2 linked regions of the Struthio camelus genome follow. The protein of the gene in region 1 interacts with the protein of each later gene in a pairwise test. Links are inferred from orthologs where the notes say so. Each region holds a gene or a part of one and is shown on either strand. Other genes may lie near its edges.

Region 1 (9,440 bases):
TCCTTAGAAAATGATCCAAAAGTTCTTCTTTTAATCCCCTTTTTATACTGCATACCAACCTTTGCAACACTCCTGGCTTCATTAACCTCAGCAAATGATGGCACCAAACACAACCTTTCTCACAATACAGCACAACTGATACAGCTAGTATTTTCTAACTAATAATTTCTGGGATTTTTGCAAGCTTCTCCCTTTGCAGGTGAAACTCAGTAATTAAGACTGACCTTTGAAAGCTACCACTCACAATGATATCTGCTGCTTCTGCTTAATTTGCTCCCCTGTTGCACATATAAAACTGTGAATAATTGCTATGGTTTATTAAAGCAGAAAATAAAAAGCCCTCAAACCACTGAGATCATCCTGTTTCAAAACATTCAACAGCACATAATAGGTATGAACGTTTTGAGCAAGTTATCCTAATAAAAAATGAGGGGAGTCAGATATCTGCCTGTTCCTATTTTGTACAAGTGTCACTCTGATCTAGTGATAACAGGTCTTCAGGATTATACTGATCTGGAATCCTGCACATCAAGCAGGTCTCTCTGGTTGTGGAAAAATTGTAGACTAGTAATATAGGTATCCTAACTAAAGCTTTTATAAATGATGAATTAGGACTCAAAAATCATGACAGCATCTTAAAAATGAGATTTTGGGGGGTTTAAATGTCTCGTAACTGTTCTTTCACTACATCCTCAGCTGGTAGAAAGCACTGCTTTCGTATTCAGAAGAACCATAAAACATGAAGGTTAGAAACCTGTTGCTGCCTCTAAATAAATGTTGAGATTATTATGAAACAACATCAAGGAAAACAAAACAAGCAAATTTGGACATCCTGGGACTGCTAATAACATCAGAGGAGTTGGCAGCATTGTGTCTCTTCCTGCCCTCTGAATGAGGGTCAAAGACCTGAACTTCTGATAATGGAATCAAAAGTAACAAATAACTGTATATAATCACAAACTTGCTTTGCATTGAAACTTACTTTGTTATGTAATGCATTTTAAGTTGAATATAAAAGGGAATTAATACAAGCAACATTGCAAACAGCTTCTCATGTGGCTAAAGGCAAGGTAATGGTTCCGAAAGAGGGCTACAGAGGGTCCAGGGTTTTGGATGTATAGATTTCATGTCCTGCATGGATCCTAGAGCCTCACTTTTTGTATTTACTTTCAGCTTCTTAGCCCTGAAACAGCAGAGTCTGAGCTAGTTCCTACCTGCTCCAGTGTTCCTGGCTGGGGCTGGCAAGTGACCTACTCTGAGTAGTAAACTGTTGTCGAATAGCCCCACTTGCACCCATCTCCATCCCAAGGCCTAGCAAAGGTGACAGGCCGAAACTGCCGCCCCATATCCTGCATGGAAAGCTGGCGAGTGAACAACCCAGAAGTACAGGCAAGCCTCGACCCAGCTGAGTTGCTCTGGTCTGAGGCGCCAAGGTTGCCCTGGAGCCCGTGCCCTCTGATGCCCAGGGCGGGCGGGCAGGCAGGAGCCCCACTTCTGCTGCGTTCACGGGGGGCGGTGCCCACCCTGCAGCCAAAGCCCAGTGCAGCCTTTGAGGTGACCTTTGGTAAACCCTTTGCAGATGCCCTTGAAAGCCAGGGATCCAACCACAGAGCGAAGGACACGAGTTTGGGGAAGCTGTTTGTCTCCTGAAGTCACTGCTCCAGCTTTTAGAAAGAAGCACTGCAGAAGTGGAGGCTGCAACCACAGTGCAGCCACAAGCCTGGTCCGGCAAGGGGATTTCCTGCACTTACAGATCTCTTCTGCGCGCAGCGTGGGGACACAGGCTGGAGCTCAAGTAGGATTCTACCCTGATTCACTGTGTCGGCTGCAAAGCTGGTCAGGAGAAAGGCACCCGCCTCCCTCTCCCCAAATGGGCACCCTGAGTCTGTTCACAGCAAGAAGCCCCAAGTTCACCAAATCAATCAAATCTCACAGTTCGCCAGAACTGGAGGGTTTCCTGCAGATTTTATATTCAGGATGATTTATGATTTAATTTAAACATGTAGTTTCCAGACGTTTCTTTTTGCAAGCAATCACCTAGGCTACATTAACCTGATGGTGATGTACTGCCATCCCAGGGAGCCCTCAGAGAGAGCGAGCCAGACAACAGCACTCAGAGGTGTGAACTTCCCCCATTTATCTTCATGGGGTGTGCAGTCTTGCCAGGGAAGCAAGCCTAATCATGTTAACCCCCTCACTGCCAGCCTCTGCCACTGAAAGGCCCAGCTATATGGCAGTATGTCCTGTATGGGCCTTTTCCCTCCTTTGCTTGGATCGTTCCTAGCAACAACAGACGCAAGCTTCGCATGAAGCGGGTGTAAACAGTCCGTGGGGGGTTTGCGGTTACGCTCATCAAGATGAGCTACAGATTCCTGGAACGCCACAGTGCAGGTTGCAGGTTTGCAGAGTGTCTTGAAAGCTTTTTTTCCCTCCCTCCATACAGTTTGTTGCAACAGATGCAGCCACAGAAGTGTTACAGTTGAATACACCTTTGAACAAGTTATAAATTCTCCCTGCATCCCATGGGAGACAGAAGACAAAAAGCAGCAGATGGGAAATGATCCTTGGGAGACTCTTGCATCTGGTTTGGATATGGTCATCTCTGCCTAAGGTTTGCTTCATCCTATGTGCAGTATTCACAACAGTGGCACAAGGTTTTTCTTGTCACCACATGGGAATGGTCCTTATTAGGGCCAGAGCTAACAACCTGGGAAGGTCCCTATTGCATTCAGAGCTGTGGTATCTGGCTGTCAGCTGTCTCTCACAGAAAATGCAGCTCTGAGCCTCCTGTGCCACTTGAGGGGTTTCCCTTTTGCAACCAGAAGGGTGTTTGCAAGTGCCTCTGAAGATGGCAGCTGCTCAAAAAGATAGTGATCCTTTCCTCTGAACAGGGCTAGTTGCAGCTGCAGAGCAGTGCAGCTGGTCCTTCCCTTGTGAGAGAGCAAGGACACCTGAGCAAGGCTTCTCGGGGAAGATGCAAAATGAAGTTGCTGCTTCAAGAGAAAGGGCTTTTAGGAATTTCTAATGCCCAGAGCTCGAGGTACCAGACCATTCCCAAGCTGTCCCACATCAGAGGACACAACTGCTCGCTGGTTTCCCTTACACCTCTGCGTGGCAGCAAGGATGGACGAGCACCTTAGGCTGCTCCAAAAGCAGAGACCCCTTCTCTTTTTGCAAGCTAGGGACAAACAGGAGAGGTGTCTCTTAAACAGCCTTTTCATTATGTTTATACTTAAAAATCTTACGGTGACTAAAGCAGTTTGCATAATAAACAGCTCTAGAGCCAGAAATACTTGCCTGCCCTCAGTAAAAAAAGGAAGTCCTCAGATCCTCTTCTGAAGACAGCAAGAAAGTGACAGAGTTTTCCCTTTACAGGATATAAATATGCAGTGCAAATAGGTGGCTGCTGTCGCTGCTTACATTTTGATGTATCGCTTCTGATAGCCTGGCAGTGCTGGATTATTTTAGTGTCAAATCAAAGCCCTGGTTGTATAAAGAAGCCGGGGAAAGGTAAAGCCTGTGCTGCAGCACTGGATGGAAGCTCCAAGAAGACTGGAGGCAGTCCTGTGAGACATGTACCAGCCGTGCATACTAAACCTGCCATTCAGCACACCAGAGAGAAAGCCCCTTTAGTAGACCTGCTGCAGACCTGAAATAGACGTCTTCAGATTTGGGGCTGCGGAGGGCATTTTGGTTTGTTTTTGTAGTGAGGCACATGATTCATTCTCATATTAGCTAAAAGAAAAGAAAGCGTTTGTTTTGTTTTTCCCCTCAGTTTCCTCATGAGAGAAAACATTTAAGGGGCTGTTTACATAAGAAGAAAAATCTTGCTGACTGATTCTTTTTTAAAGCAGAAAGCTGCCATTTGCACCACACCGTTGCTCACTGTCCTTGCCTTTAATCTCAGCTCAAATCCACCCTGTCTGCATGCCTGCTCAGCGTCATTTTTATCTGGACACAGGACACCTGTACAGCACCTAGCACACAGTAATCTTTTTATGGCTACCGCGGCCTCCGAGTTCCACCCCGATACAAACGCGTAGTCAGACTAATAATGAAAGGTCAGCCTCACGCTTAGCCTCTCTACAGGGCAGATGCGCACAGCAAGCACAGCTCGCTTCCTGCCAAAAGGAACTGACAGCCGTCTCATTTTGAAACGCTCAAACTCAAACCACACACATCAGACCACTTATGCTCCCGCAGGGTTTGCAGGAGCGTGCCGTGGACGGGCTGGCGGAGTTCCTCCCGCGGAGGACCGGACTAAGAGACAGGCCAGCCAGGCCCCAAAAGCCATCGGCGGCGCTTCCAGAGGGAAGACGCACACCGCGCGGAGCCGCCCGGCCGGGACGACGCCTTGGGCGTGTGCGCAGGCCGCAGCCGCCGCGCCGGGCGCGGGCTGGGCCGGCGGGAGCGGAGCCGGGAGCCCAAACCGGCCCCGGCGGCAGAGCCGCGGCCTGCCAGGCCTGGCGAGGCGCAGGGCAGGCCCCACGCCGCCCCCGAGGACATCCAGCCACCGGGCGCTGTAACGGGAGTCCCGCGAGGCCCGGCAGGGCGCTCGCGCTGTAACGGCGTCGGTCACCGGGGGCGCTGCGGAGGGGAAGGGCTCCCTCGGCCCGCGGGGCGGCCGCCGGCCCGCTCCCCTCCTCCTGCCGCCAGGGCGCCGCCATCTCCCCCGGTCGACCCCCCCAGGGGCGGGGCCTGCGCCGCGAGGGGCGGGGCGTCGTATGCAAATAGAGCGCGGCTGCCCGCAGGGTGCCACGGGGGGCGCACGCGCATTCCGCGCTCAGTGGGGAACGGGTCCTTACACAATGCGCCGGGTTCCCTCAACGGTGTTGGAGGGGGCGCGAAGCAGCGGGGCGGGGTCGGGTATGCAAATGTTGCTTGCTTCCGTCGCGCGATTGGAAGGGCGGGAGGAAGAGGCGGGACCGGATATGTAAAGAGAGAGCCGGCGTTCAGCGCGCGCGCGCGCGTGGGAGGGGGGGAGGAGGGCAGTGGGGCGGGGCCTGCGTATGCAAATGTAGCCGGCGTCTCGCGCGCGCGGTGGGGCGTGGCTCGGGTGCAAACGCCCGGGCGGCCGTTTCCCGGCTCCCGCCCCAACGCTCTCGCTAACGTTCCCGTGGCCACGCCCCGCCGCTAAAAGGCGCCGCGCCTGCGCAGTGCGCGGAAATAAGGACTTAGTCTGTTACACAACCGGCGGCGGGGCCAGGGGGCTGCGCTCTCCCGTCGCGTTCAGGCTCCGCGCTTCCCCGGCGGCTCGGCTCTCCTCTCCGCTGCGCTCCGCTAGGCCTCCGGCGCCTTCCGGCATGAGCGGCGACCATCTGCACAACGACTCCCAGGTGAGAGCGCCCTCCGCCCCGGCGGGGAGCCCCGCTCCCCGGGGGCGCCCTGCCGCGGGGCCCTTCGCTCCCCTCAGGGTCGGCGCGGCGGGCCCGGCTGGAGCCCTCCCCTCCCCCTCCCACCGCCTTGCCCTCAGCCGGGCGGCGCTGCCCTCCTGCCGCCCCTCAGCCGGGGCCCCCCCGCGGCCCCGGGGAGAGCCCTGTCAAGCCGGGCTGCCCCCGCCGTGGCGGGGCGCCGCCGCCGTTTGTGCCCAGGCGGAGGTGGGGTGGGGGAAGGGACTCGTGAGCGGCCCCCTGCCGGCAGGAGGGGAGGGGGCTGGCGGGGGCACCCCGGAGCCGTGCGGGTGCCGGGGGGCAGCTTCCTGCCGCCCGCCGCGGAGGGCACTCGTGCGGCGGGCTGGTTATTTCTCGCTTGTTGTCCACTTTTCCTAAAAATGAGAATTAAGCGGGTGGGGAGGGGGGAGAGAAACCCCCGCGCGCCCCTTCTTCCCCCTAAAGTGGGGGGGGGAAAAAAACCCGTGCCGGGACGGTGTTTTCACGGTGTGTCTCCCTGTCTCCCCTCTCCCGCAGATCGAGGCGGATTTCCGAGCGAACGGTGAGTGAGGCCGCGCCGGCCGCGCACAGACATGGCGTCCCAGAGACTAAGTCCCGGCTCCTCGCTCACCGGCCCCATTGTTCCCATCGAGCCGCCCAAAGCGCCCCTTTGCCGGGGGCCTCGGCCCCCCCCGGCCCCCTCTTCCCCTAGAGGGGGCTGCGGAGGCCCCCGATCCGCGCCCATCGGCCCTCCCGGGGGTCCCTTTGGGCCCCGTTCCTCCCTGGAAAGTCGCCTTGTCGACGGTCGGGACTTAGTCTCTGCGCCATTTTCTTTTTCTCCTCTCTGCTGTGTGGCTTTCTCTGCTTCTCCTCCTCCCTGAGCTGCCGAAAAGGAGCCTCCCGCAGAGGAACCCGGCACCGATCCCCGGCCCACGGCCCCTTCTGAGCAGGCACAAAAGCAAAGTTTTTAGCTAAAATAAACCCCCGAGCTGGTTTTTATCGCAGCCTCCCTCTCCCCCCCCTCTACTGCTCCCCTGCTCTGTTCCTTTCAGGGAATCCCTCCCTTCCCCTAAAATGAAAGGTGATTGCAACATGTTGCTCTTTAAAAGATTCTGCTGCATCCATTTTAAGATCACTCTTATTTCATTCCTTGCTGTTTAATTGATGTAACTTTACATTTTGGGGTGGGGCTTTTTAATTAAAAAAAAGCAAAGATTAAAAAAAGATAATATAGACAATTCCAGAAAGGTAGACAGCATCACTTCAGAAAGTTTGCAAGTTGACTCTTTGTTTTGGTTAGAAAGGTTATATACATACACATATGTGTGTCTATATGTATACATAATTATGTTTTTTAAGAAGCTTGACAGCTACCGACTTTTTTTTTTTTTTTGAGTGTTGCTGCATTTTTCCAGGAAGCAAATTCTTTTCCCCCCAGCCTGGTACATGGCAGATTTGGGGGGAGGAGGAGGTAAAAACCTACCTTTGCATGCGTGTGTTATTGTCCTACTGATGGGGTTGTCTGAGGAGCTCAGAGCTGTCCCCTAACTGTTGAGGTGGTAGAGGACAAAAAGGTTTGAAGAGAAGATACCTTAGCTTGGCTAAATGCATTCTTACAGCAATACTGATTTTCAGCACACCTTTCTGCACAATGTCTGTGTGCCTGGTTGCTTTGCAAGCTACTGCACGTAAATATTTACAGATCCCTGTTTGTGTGCTCCTCTCTTTCTCTTATCCATTCATTGATGTGATTGTGTATGTACAATAGGAGCATGCGGTTTCAAATCTATAGCTTTTAAACTTTTCTTTCTACTCTGAAGCTACAGTAGGGCTCTATGAATAATCCTTAGCAGAAGAAAGGGAGGAAGTGGAGTTCCCTGAAAATGCAGTAGGAATTCTTGAAACAACTTAAATGCAAGCATGTATTTGAATACTTGTAGCCTTATGCTGGGAAATATTTGCCAAAGGGTCACTGCTATTTCGGGAAAAGTAACCCCTGAAAAGCTTCAACTACTTACTGGTTTAAACAGGGGAAGTGATGCTTGTTCAACTATTCCATTCCAACTTCTAGTGAACATCTTAGGAGGGTTTTTTTCTCCTTCATTATAACTATATGCTGCTTTATTCTTAGGACGGTTTTAGGCATACAGCGCTTAAAACTCCTTCAATTCTGACTTCTACTATGTGTTGGAGGAAGTCATTACACAGATGTAAAGTAAGACATCTAGATGGAAAAAGTGTGTTACTGGTGAATCAAACACACCGAACAAGTTCATACCAGTTTAGGTATCAGCGCTCTTTTCTTCCTATTGTATTTGCCCATTGAATTTATTTTTATGGCTGTCATGAAACATCATTGTGGCTGATCAGAGGCTCCTAAAATCCAAAATCCTCTTCAGTGATGAAAGCTGTGTGTAACCCTTTTAGTTTTGTAAGGGAATAATGATGAGTAGACACTGTCCTCTCTGACCTTGGGCCAAGACTGATATTCCTGAAAACCTGTCACCTCCTTTTGCTCCAAGTTTTTTTCAGGCTTGTTTCCTCTTCCCAGGAGTACCTTACGCTTTTGTGTCAGAAACGTCACACGCTGATCTGAGAATATCGTTTCTCTTTTAGGCATAGGTGAGAGCTCAAGCTCTAATTCTTGTTTTGATCCTGTTTAGTGGCGGAGATGGGGGCAGCAGGAATCTCAAATTACTTCATCCAGGTGTTTAGAATTGCTTCGTACTTTGGTTATTATCAAACAGCTCTTACAGTAGAGCCAAAGCCTCCTTTTAGGCTGCCTTTTCCCTTTACGTTAGGGGGAAGGGAAGTTTTTGTTGCTGGTAGCCTCTAAAAGTTAAATGTACCAGTCCTAAAGGGTTCTGCTAATAAACAGTGTTTTGAGTGACTTCTGGATATTGTATCAATGATAGAGTAACTTAAGCACTTTGAAGTTTCCTGTTGTTACAAATATCTTTCATATCTAGGTCAGTGGACATACTACTTTGAGTTTTAAGCACACAAGATGTTGCAACTGAAGTAAGGTGGGTGGGGGTGGATCTACTAGCTAATTGGAGGTCACCAAGGAGCACCCTGGTTGTAGCTAAGATCTTAAGTCTGATTACACACCAGTTTCATTGGTAGCAGGATAGTGTTGGGTACGAGAGAGGATGCCAATTGTAAATGTAAATATGTGTTTCTGGCTATTTCTTGTCATTAAATAGCCAGATCGCTCTAAGCAAGTGTATCCTGGGCAAATTCCAACTTGGGTAATTGCATTCCATCTGAATATCCAGATTCTCCCTCCTGTTTAATTTGGCCATATTGAATTTTTTTTTCACCTTAACTATATTTTTAGTGGCAGTATGCACTGCAAAGACTTTTCCGTGCTCAGTTCTAGCAGTGGCTGCTTGCAAACCATCCTGAGAACAATATTGAGCTGAAACAGTAGGCCTGTTTTTTAAAGTTCCATCCTCACAATCTGCACCGCTGTAGAAGGGAGATGGTAGTCTAAAACTGTCATCTCCAAGTACAGTTTGGTCATTAAGAACAGCCTCTTTTTAGCATATGTGAGTTTTAGGTCACTACAAACTTCTGAGGGAGGAAATCATTCCTGGGGATTTTTTTTGTTTTTGTTTTTTTTGTTTTATCCCCCCGCCCCCGTAAGTTTCAAATCTCTTCAGATGCAAAACCTATTTGGATCCTGTTTAGCTTAGCTGGTAAGAGCTTTGCTACTAAGTTCAACTATAACGACCTCTTACTACTGCAGACAGTACTGAGACTAAATGGAATTTATCTCGACTTTCAGTTCTCTTATTATGTTTGCGGAGTGCAGCAGATAAGTTATTTTTGTTTGCAATATGGTAAAAATCGGTCCAAAGCTACTAAATTGCACTTACTGTGAAATGCTTTTAGTGCTATTCCTGCAGTGTAACAGAATGTGTTGGCTGTTCATCAGTCCAGGAACAGAATTCTATAAGATTCATTATCGTTTTGTTTAAAAAGTTAAATGATCACCCTAACCAATGTTTTTCCTTTGATGGACTTGATCAATACTCTTAAGAAGCAATTGGAGGCCAATATCACTGT
Region 2 (9,902 bases), on another chromosome or scaffold:
AAATTGAATATCAGCACCCCCAAAAATAGAGCTGCTTTGTGTGTTACGGCGTATCTGTTTGCTAATGAATAATCTAAGATGGATAGAAACATCTCAATAAAGTTAATGGGCGTCAGAGCAAAAAGGGAGTATTTTGTTATGCTATCTGGCTTAAACTGTAAATGGCAAGAGTGTGGCTTCTCAGTAAGAATCTTGCTAATCATGTGAAAATCAAACTGCTAACTAAATACCCTGTTAGAAATAGAGGAAATGTGTGCCAGCCTGAAGTGCTCCTGTGCCTCAATAGACTGCACACATTGAGCAGGGACGGGAAAGTAAATGACTTCACAAAGTATTCACTGTTCAGTCATAAAGAGATGGTGGTAATAACCAATAAAAGAAATTCCCCACATTTGCTTCTGCAGTTATGCAGTAAAATAACATTTAATTATGGGAAAAATGTATCAGAGTTTTGCCAGAGAGCCAGCCAAGTCAGAATTCAAAATGATCTATTCAAATAGATACATGGTGAGTCTAAGAACACCCGGACATTTTCTCAGGCTTAATTAATTGGGTTTGTAAAGCACTTGTCAGATAAAAGATGTGAAGAATGTTGCTGTTGTTCTTTGCTCTATATTTTGAAATAAGGAACTGTGCAGAATGAAAAATGAGAGAGCTACCTCCACAATTGGTAGAGCTGAGTGAATCAAAATTTCCTTGTGAGATTTTTGCTGGTTGCACGCATCTTCTTTGAATTAGGATTCTGAAAATATTCTCAGAAATATATATATTAGCAGGCACGTTTACTACAACAGTGTAATGTAAGCAATAATTGCGATATAAAATAATGTAGAAATTAGGAGTATTATCACTGAAGTCTGAGAAGTATGTCAATATAACTGGGAGCACATGCACATAACAACCTATATACTCCAGGAGAGCTAATCAGCAAAGCTGAAAATGTGCAATACAGTGCTCACATGCAAGAATTACTTGCAGAAATTATAGGGCAAAGAATTATAAAATGTAAAAAATTCTGAGACAGTTGCACACATATTATGGTCCGTTTTAGATCACAGTAGAATGTATAACAGAGGATCAAATATCAATTGCTCTTATTTTGGCTTTTTTATCAACGTTGTTTAGGCACTCTATGGAACACTAGAGAAAAACTAATCCCTGCCTTCCAGTGTTCCCCAAATCTAAGACCTTGAGTTTTTGTTCTGTGCTTGCATGGATGCCAAAGGAATTCAGCAGTGCGCCATAAACTGCAAGGTTACATTACCTGCAGATCCCACATCACAACAGTACAGGTTAATGCTAGCTAGAGATAAGGAAATAATACTAATCACAATAAAGAGCTCAAAGAGATAACTGTTTCTGTAACTGTAATGCTACTAGTAATTTAGTTAGGGAATGGTAGTATGCATGTCTGTCATTCACAGCAATGGCATGGAGCAGATGTAGGGAATTTTAAGTATCCAACTGAGCATGGAAAGAAAAAAGATGTCATCAAATGGCCACAATTGGCCCCAACCAGGAAGTTCAATCAGAAACAAATCTGTAATTTGCTCTGAATTATTCTTTTCCGTCCTGAAGCAGAGGAAGGATGCTAACTGCTTAGGAGAACAATAATTAATCCCTGTAAAGTTGTGTGCCAGCTCAAAAACTAAGATCATAACAAGTAGTTACTTAGAACATACACAAAGCTGAGTTCATGTGGGAAAAATAAGGAAAGGGAGGAGAATTTAAATAAAGTCAGGAACAAATGACCGAAAACAATATGCTTTGTAACTCAAACCCTTTGATGGCTCTCACAGAACTGGCCCTGTACTCCTGGCAGGGAAGTACAGGGTCTCTGGGCAGGCATTCCTGTGCTTCTGGGACAACCCTGGCATCACAACTATCTCAGAAATCCTCCAAGTTTGGTCACTAAATTCTCTGATATTTTTTCAGTATATGTCAACGCACTTTCTCCTCTGTCTCCCTGCTGTCAGGTAAAGGAACCTCAGTGATTAGAAAGTTCTTCTTTTATGAATTTTCTTAACAAAAAGCACCAGGTCAACATGAGCTAGCTCAGGCCCCTGTGTAGACCTTGGACGCATGTTTCTCAAAGGCGTGGACGCTCCCTGACCTTCTGTTTTGCTGGCTAGTGATCAGCACAACCTTCTCAGCTAATATAATATAATACTGTTGAACTTTTGTCTGCAGCCCTTGATTTGTAGCCATTCTGTTACATGAGATCAAACAAAAAGTTCTTCTGGGCCAATTCACGCTGTTGATGTTACATAAATATTTTTATCTGTATTAATTTCTATTACATTTCCTAGATAAAAACTGAGCATGTTAAGAAAGCAAACAACAGGAGAATATTTTAGTGACATTCGTGAGTAACCCCTTTTAGGAAATGCATTGTGTATTATTTATGATTTAGACTGGTAAATACAATCCCATGACATCACCTTTAAAAATGGCTGTGCTCCATCTACTGATAACGCCAATGAAAGACTAGCTGACTTTTTAAAGGAGGAAGCTGGCATAAAAATTATAAGGTGAAACAAATGTCTGAAGTTTATTGTCTACATGCAGAAAAGCCCAGTTTTAAAAGGAAATCTGTTATTTAATATTTCTGCAGCTCTCTACTTCCAAAACTGTTTAAATTAGTGCATTTGGCTTTTAGCTGATCTGTATATGGGCATCCAAGTCTCATTTCTCCTTTTATCTGTCCTTTCCAGTTTTTCTTTTTTTTTTTTTGGGGGGGGGGGGAGCGCTTATATAGTTTTATGATTTCTTTTATGTTATTTTAATTTTTGTTTGTTTCCCTCATTTTATTTCTCAGCTTTCTTTGTCAGCCTGTTTTATAGTTCTTTCCCATTCTTTCTCTCCTGCAGAACTTCCCTTCCTCGCTACAATTTCTCCTCTGTGAAGTTACCTTACATGTTCTGTCTGCCCCAGCCTCTTTCCTTTTCATGCTTTGGCCTACTATTTCTGCTTTTTGCCTTACCCCTTTTCCATGCTTGTTAATTTTCGCTAGTGCGTTACCAACAGTATGTTCACATTGCAGGAGACAAGCAGGACAATCATGTCTGTTGGCTCCCAGCTGACAGACTGACCTGTGAGCGAACACAAAAAGGTGAAAGGAGAAAGACAACTGTGCAGAACTTCTAACGCCCAGATCATTCCATGACTGAAAAAAAAAATTTTCCACGTGTACACAGTGTAACCAATTCCCTCATGGGGTTTTCCATCTCCCATGACAACTGATTCATTTTTCCTTCCTGAAAAGGCTCTTCACCCCCCAAAATCACTTCTCAAGTAATAGTTCCTAGCTAGTGCCTTCAGGTTCCCCGAGATGGGCCTGAAGCAGTGTGGTGAATCTCAGTTTTCTGTTCTTCCAGTCCCTACACTGCTAGGGGAATCTGGGTCTCTCCCACTCTCTAGTCTTTGTCCACGTTGGGACAAGGAAAGCACAAAGGCAATAGCTTAATTCTTCTGACTGAGCATTACCTGATTTATTTTTAATATAGCATCTACTTGCTGTCTTGTGGTTTGTATACTCTGTCTTCTTATGTCCTTTCCCACGATGGCCTACCCCAATTAAATTGCTTCCATCTTCCTTAAGCTTCTGTAAAATTTGTTCTGCGAAGCAGACGACGTTTGCTTGGTCTCAGTTTTGTCCTAATTATAAACCTAAATGCAGAGTGGTGACATATTCTGTTCCTCTTTTAGCCACATGCTTCCATAAATGCTGACAAGTCAGGAGCTATGATAAATAGCTTTCAGCTCCATAATTTAAATTTCTGCTGTATTTACAGCAAAACTCCAGTAGATGGCAAAAGGATCCACTTTATTTTTCAACTGACAGGGCTTAGTTTCCCCTTACTGTGAAAAGGATCTTGCAGTTCCAGAGAAATTTAATTCAGATCTCACCAACTTTATTTTGTGTATCATATATTTTAAAATTCAGTCTCTGTTCTGCAGCAAGCACTGAACTGTGGGGGCAATTCAGAAGTTTTTTCAGTTGAACACAATAATGTAGGACAGTGTAAGATTTTGTAAAGACACTATTACATTGAAATGTTATGATGAATTACACAGATTTACGAGTATCACCTTTCCCGCTCTCACAGAACTACTGCCCTGAGAAACTTAAGTGCAGCCCGTCCAGTAGCAAATATCGGTGGTAGGGAGGTCTTTTATTTCACCCTTGTCACACAAACACACTTTTTCCTCTCAAAAGCCACAAAGGCAGTAAATTAAAAAAGATCCTAGTTGGTTTGTCAGAATTTGCCAACTTGATTCACCGTCCTACATTCTCTGGTCCAAAGACTTTCAACTGTATGGATAGTGCTTTAGGCACAAAAAATGTGCTCTCTGCTACATTCACTATTGCTAGTTGTTTTGTTCTGTTTTCTCCTCAAAAGTTTAAAATATGAAATGTAAATGGATTTCTTATATAAAAACGTACCAACAGCCTTTAAAATATTATTTCAGAAATGCACACACAGTTAAAGTAGGTATCGATCCCCGATTTGTTTCAGTTATCACAAGGAAACAGGTATAACGTTCATCATAAAAATGAATTTGGATTTCACGCGCTTTAACAACACAGCTGCAGGACGTGTTCGCTCACAGGTACCGCAGCACAGATTTCCGTGAGCGCGGCAGCGCTGCGGGCTGGGCGCAGCCGGGTTTGCCTGCTGCCCGCCTGCGGTCTCTCCTCCCGCGGGAGCGCGTTCCCGCCCCACGCACGGTAACGTTCGTCCGGAGAAAACTACCAGGTTGGTGACACCGGTTCAGGCACCTGCAGCGCGGCTCAGACGAACTCGCCTGCGCTGAGAAGAGAGTATTACTGTTTTGTAGCTTTTGCGAGGTTGAATCCAGGCGGTTTTTTTTTTTTTTTCCTGTGAGGCACCGCGCGCGGTGAGCGTGGCGCCGAAGCCCCGACGGCTGCGCAAAGTGACAGCGCCTGACCGTTACCGACCGTTACTGACCGGCACCGCTTCAGCCGAGAGGCTGCGGCATCTCCCCCTCTGCCGCCCGCCGGGAGCCCCCGAGCCCCTTCGCACCGACGGGGGCTGCGAGGCACCGCGCCCGGGCCAGGAGGAGCCCCTCGGCGGCCGCCCCCGCGGAGAGTGGCCGGCCGCGCCCCTCGGCGGCCGCTCCCCGCCTCAGCGCCGCCGCCGCCACTCCTCCCCCTCCCCCTGCGCCTGCCGTGAGGGAAGGGCAGCCCGGCGGCAACGGCTTCGCCGGGCCGCCGCGAGCCTGCGCGGCGCGGGGGCGCATGCGCGGCGCGGCCGCCGCCGGTTAGCGCCTGACGCGGGGGCGGGCGACCGGCGGCGCGGAGGGGGTGCGGGTGTCGGTGCCGCCCTGAGCGGCGATGGCGGCGGCGGCCGCCGGCTCGGGGGCGCTTGCGGAGGCGGCGGTTGCTGTTGTCGCTGCCGCCGCTGAGGCCGGCGCGGTGCTGCAGCGGGAGCCGCTGTACAACTGGCAGGCCACCAAGGGCTCGCTGCGGGAGCGCTTCGCTTTCCTCTTCTCCAACGAGCTCCTCAGCGACGTGCACTTCGTGGTGGGCAAGGGCAGCCCCCGCGGCGGCGGCGGCCCTCCCGGGCCGGGCCAGCAGCGCATCCCCGCCCACCGCTTCGTGCTGGCGGCCGGCAGCGCCGTCTTCGACGCGATGTTTAACGGTGGCATGGCCACCACCTCGGCCGAGATCGAGCTGCCCGACGTGGAGCCCGCCGCCTTCCTGGCGCTGCTGAGGTCAGGCCGCGCCGGGGGCCGGGGGGCGCGGAGCGGGGGGGGGGGGGGGGTTGGCGGTTGGGGGCCTCCGCCCACCGGCGGTTCTGCCCCTCAGCCTCACCTGCGGCCTGGGAGCCCCCTCGGCGGCCGCTGCCTCAGGGTCTCCCTGCCCCGCGCAGCCGCGGTGTCCGCCGATGCCGTGTCTATTTTGATCTTCTGGTTCCGTGGTTTTTATTTATTTATTTATTTATTTATTTTCAAGAGAGGCGGTGGGAATTAGTGGCTGCCTTATCTCTTCTGTGAGTGCTGCAACTCTCCACCTTCTGATAATGGCCCAAAAGAACCCAGGCTGTTGTACAATGCTTTTAACTTCATTTGATGCTTGCTTTGAAATTTTATTAATCTTGCTGCTTGTTTTTCGTTTTCAGGGATGGTAGTAGATTGTTGTATATTTTTGCCAAAGTAATATCTATTACAGTTGTACTTATTTCAGATATTTTTTGGGTGGAGGGGGCATGTGTAGCAGAAGACAGTTAATAAACTAATTTTACACATAAACCACCTAGGTGAGATCATCAGTGCAGTGGTGGGAAAAAAAATATAAAATGGGTTAGTAATTTCAAACTTGGGCAGAATAGGATCTGCTGCTTCTCATAATCACAAAACTGATGAATTTACCCATCCTATACTTTTACTCAGGGTAGTGGTAAATAAAATCCGCGGTATTCATAGAAACGATTACTGGCAGTTTTGTGCGTGAGACTCATTGCTGAGGTGTAGTAATATGACTAAACTGCTTAATCTTTACGTTTTTTTTCTGAAGGAAACTCTGCTAGGTAAATCCTTCATAAAATATATAAAACATTTTTGTAATAGAGATTTAGGACACAAGTAATACCATGGTCTGGAAAGAAGTTCAGTGTCTCAGAGCTTTCTGTAATGGAGAAGTAAAAAAACTCCAAAGCCTTCACAGCTTTCTCTTTTGTTTTGGGACCTAACAGGCCTAACAGTGAGGAGTCATCTACTCCTTTTAGTAATGGGAGCAACTGATTTGTCAGGCGGAGGGTGGGTTAGTTTTAAAAAAAAAAAAAAAAAAAAAAAAAAAGACACAGCAGCAGCGACTTCTGCTGTGTTGCTCATTAGCAAATTAATTGTATTGATTATCTGGATTCTCAGCAACTGGAGAGTAGTGAAAATATGAGATGAAGAGTTTGTGTAGCAGAGTGGAAAATAGTAGGAAATGTCTTTCAAACAAAAATCTTTTCCAGGGTTAAAAGTAAATGAAAGCGCGCATGTATATGTGTGTGTGCGTGTGTTTATATAGCTGCATGTTGAAAAATGTGGTACAGTGAAAAGTGGATATAATTGGATAAGTTAGCTTGGATAAAAATGTGAACGCCAAAGTGGTTGAGTTCTAAGTAACAGTAAGAAGGATAATACATGAAAACTGTAAAAGTGAATGAAGAGATGTTGTTGCAATCAAACAAAAGCCATCTTATGCTTGCTAGTACGTAATGGCCTGGGGACTTACGTAAATAAACTTATTATACTTACATCTTGTCTAAATATCACCAGACTGATGAACTGATAAAGCTTCTCGGATTTGAAATCTCCTTTGGTTTGAAATACATTGCAGCTTTTTTAGGACATTCTTCTCTATTATATGTATCTTTTGAGCTTATATCGGAATAAATATAAATTGCAACACAATGTTAAACACATCTGAGGAAAACTTCTTTAATACAGACCAGTACTGGATTTTTCCCATACCAGTACACACTATTTTTAAATTATACTGACTATAAGACCACCTGTTTTTTCCCAGTGTTGACCAGAAGAGGCACAAGAACTTTACCTTGCATTATTATCCTCTTTTGTCTATCGTTAGTAAATTTGCCAGCTGGTGGTGATAGCCTTTTGTGGGACCCTCTGTTAATCTCTGCACAGGCCAACCAGAGCTGTATTGGCTAGGAGTTAGGTCAATTGGGATCTTTGCCTATACATAGCAGAAAAGCATGAAGGTAAAGTAAAAAATTAAACTGATGTACATTTTTTTTAGAGGGCATTTACTAACTATTTAATGTTCAACAAATCGTTTCTGTTTTACTTACTCATACATTGTGTTAGGTCCTGTCTGTAGTTGATATGTTTGGTAAAGATAATCCTACTTGCCGTTTAATGCCCCAAAAAATATTTGTATGAAAATTTTTCTGTTTTTCTTAAACTGATAGTCTTCATCTGTCCGGTGAGACTGTTATTTCCTTGTCTTATGAGGTAAACTTTCCTCAGTGTTAGTGTTTTGTTGCCAAATACATCATAGTTTCAGAATTAAATTTATGGGGCGGAAACAAGCAGTTAGAAATGGCACAATTTAAACAGCGAATATTTACCAAGTTAACGTGACATGTGACATCTGTTTTTTTCAATTTTTCTTTGGATATATTCATGCACGATTTAAAAATGGGGCTACAATTGCTACCTTTTTTCGGAAAGGGGCCTCTAAAATACCAGATTTTTAGAGTTAACATATTTAAAAATAATAGAAAAAAGCTTTAATTGATAGTACTGCTGTAATCTGAGTAATAAGTTTTGGAGGTTCTTTTTACCCTGAAGAAAGTTGTGCATGTCCTCCTCATCTATCATTTTGGCTAAAATCTTAACTGTAAAAATGGAAGAGGAGGAGACTTTTGGAACTTACTGGGGGGGGGGAGAAAACAGTCTTAGAAAATAATTGGCTGAGCTCAGGGGCCTAAAAACGACTGTGGTGTGTGTTTTGGCTTACCATCCGGTATTCCTCTTGCCTGAAGAGTTCTCAAACATGAGCCAAAGAAGTTTTTCTAAAGTAGCTGACTGCTTCAGTAGTTTGGCAGATAAATCCTTAAGAACTCGAAATTAAGTCAAAGCCCCAAAGTTTGTGTCTGCTTTTTCTGATTTGTAATTAGTCAACTTCTTTTGCATATTTCTAACTGCGTAACTTGAGTAGCTGAGATCTGGAAAGTCAAAGTAGTTTCATACTAGCGTTACGTGTTTCTGTTTTAGGGTTTGGATTTGTTTTTTAATAAGTTTTTTTTTAATTTCTATTCATTCTCATTTTAAAATGCATTTTAGAGTAATTTAACTTGTACTTTGATCATAGTATACAGGGAAGTGGCAACATAGGATAAAATTAACCTGGATGTCTTAGCAGAGGATTTTGACAAGCAGTAAATAGAGGGGTAACCACGGCTAACTGGGAAAGATCTCTGTGTTTTTTATATTGGTGAGAATATTTCAGTTGTTCGGAAGATGCTAGGGCTATGGGAGAAGGAAGTGCTAACTTGAGAGTGAAGAAAAGTGGCATAAAATTTGAGATGCTTATTTAAAATCAGTGGTTGAGTGGTTCCTTGGGAAACTGTTCTGTCCACTAAAAGTGTTCCTCCACTACCCTCCTCTTCCCCCCCGGTGAAAATAAAATTAATCAGTGTCCAAAGAGCAGATTATTTCCTGTGAGTCTGAAACTCCTGAGGGGAAGGGGAGGAGGGAGGGAGGGAGGGAGGGAGATAATGGAGAAGAAGTGGTCTTGAACCTCACTGATCTTAGCAGTCTGCTAATCAAGGAGAACTACTTCTAATTTATTTTTCTCTTTCTTGGCAAAGAAAAAATTGGCCTCTGAAATCAAAGGAGGAGAGAATGGAGGGATCTGCAAAAATGGGATGTAAATTTAAATGAAAGGAGAAGAGGAAGCAGAGAGAAAAAGATGGGGGAAATATGTTTTTAAATGTACACATGAAAGATGAATGGAAGAGGAACAATAGCATAAACATAAAAGAATGCTCATTCACACTTCCCACAAATGGGAGAGTCAGCACAGCCTGGAGAGCTGCTGGCACACGAGCAGAGGGATTTTTCCAGAGAGAAGACACACCTAGAGTTCTTCTTTATGAATAGAGAAATGCCTCATGATCATCAATCCATATACTTAAGGAAAATACTGTAGTATTATATGAAATTTTGGAGTAATGTATTACTTAATTACCATTTTTAATTGTTTTTTCAGCTACCTCTGAACTTTGCAAATTCACACCTTTTTGTATCTGCAAAAGACTACTTTTTGGCTCTGGCAAATGCCAGAAGAGTATTGGCACTGTCAACAATTTGAAATATTAAACACAACAAAATGACTGTGTGACTTTCCTAATGTATTT

What was found.
Region 2: the proteins of TOP1 (region 1) and BTBD1 interact in a two-hybrid assay, tested with the Homo sapiens proteins (2 studies listed by BioGRID). The link is inferred for Struthio camelus from reciprocal best matches to the Homo sapiens genes TOP1 and BTBD1.

Annotation. Positions count from the first base shown.
Region 1 is NC_090959.1:7,166,189-7,175,628, forward strand, and holds the start of TOP1 (DNA topoisomerase 1), read left to right. Parts: upstream 1-4,776; 5' UTR 4,777-5,303; coding exon 5,304-5,336; intron 5,337-5,906; coding exon 5,907-5,931; intron 5,932-9,440. UniProt on the Homo sapiens protein: Releases the supercoiling and torsional tension of DNA introduced during the DNA replication and transcription by transiently cleaving and rejoining one strand of the DNA duplex.
Region 2 is NC_090953.1:11,983,210-11,993,111, forward strand, and holds the start of BTBD1 (BTB/POZ domain-containing protein 1), read left to right. Parts: upstream 1-5,315; 5' UTR 5,316-5,359; coding exon 5,360-5,739; intron 5,740-9,902.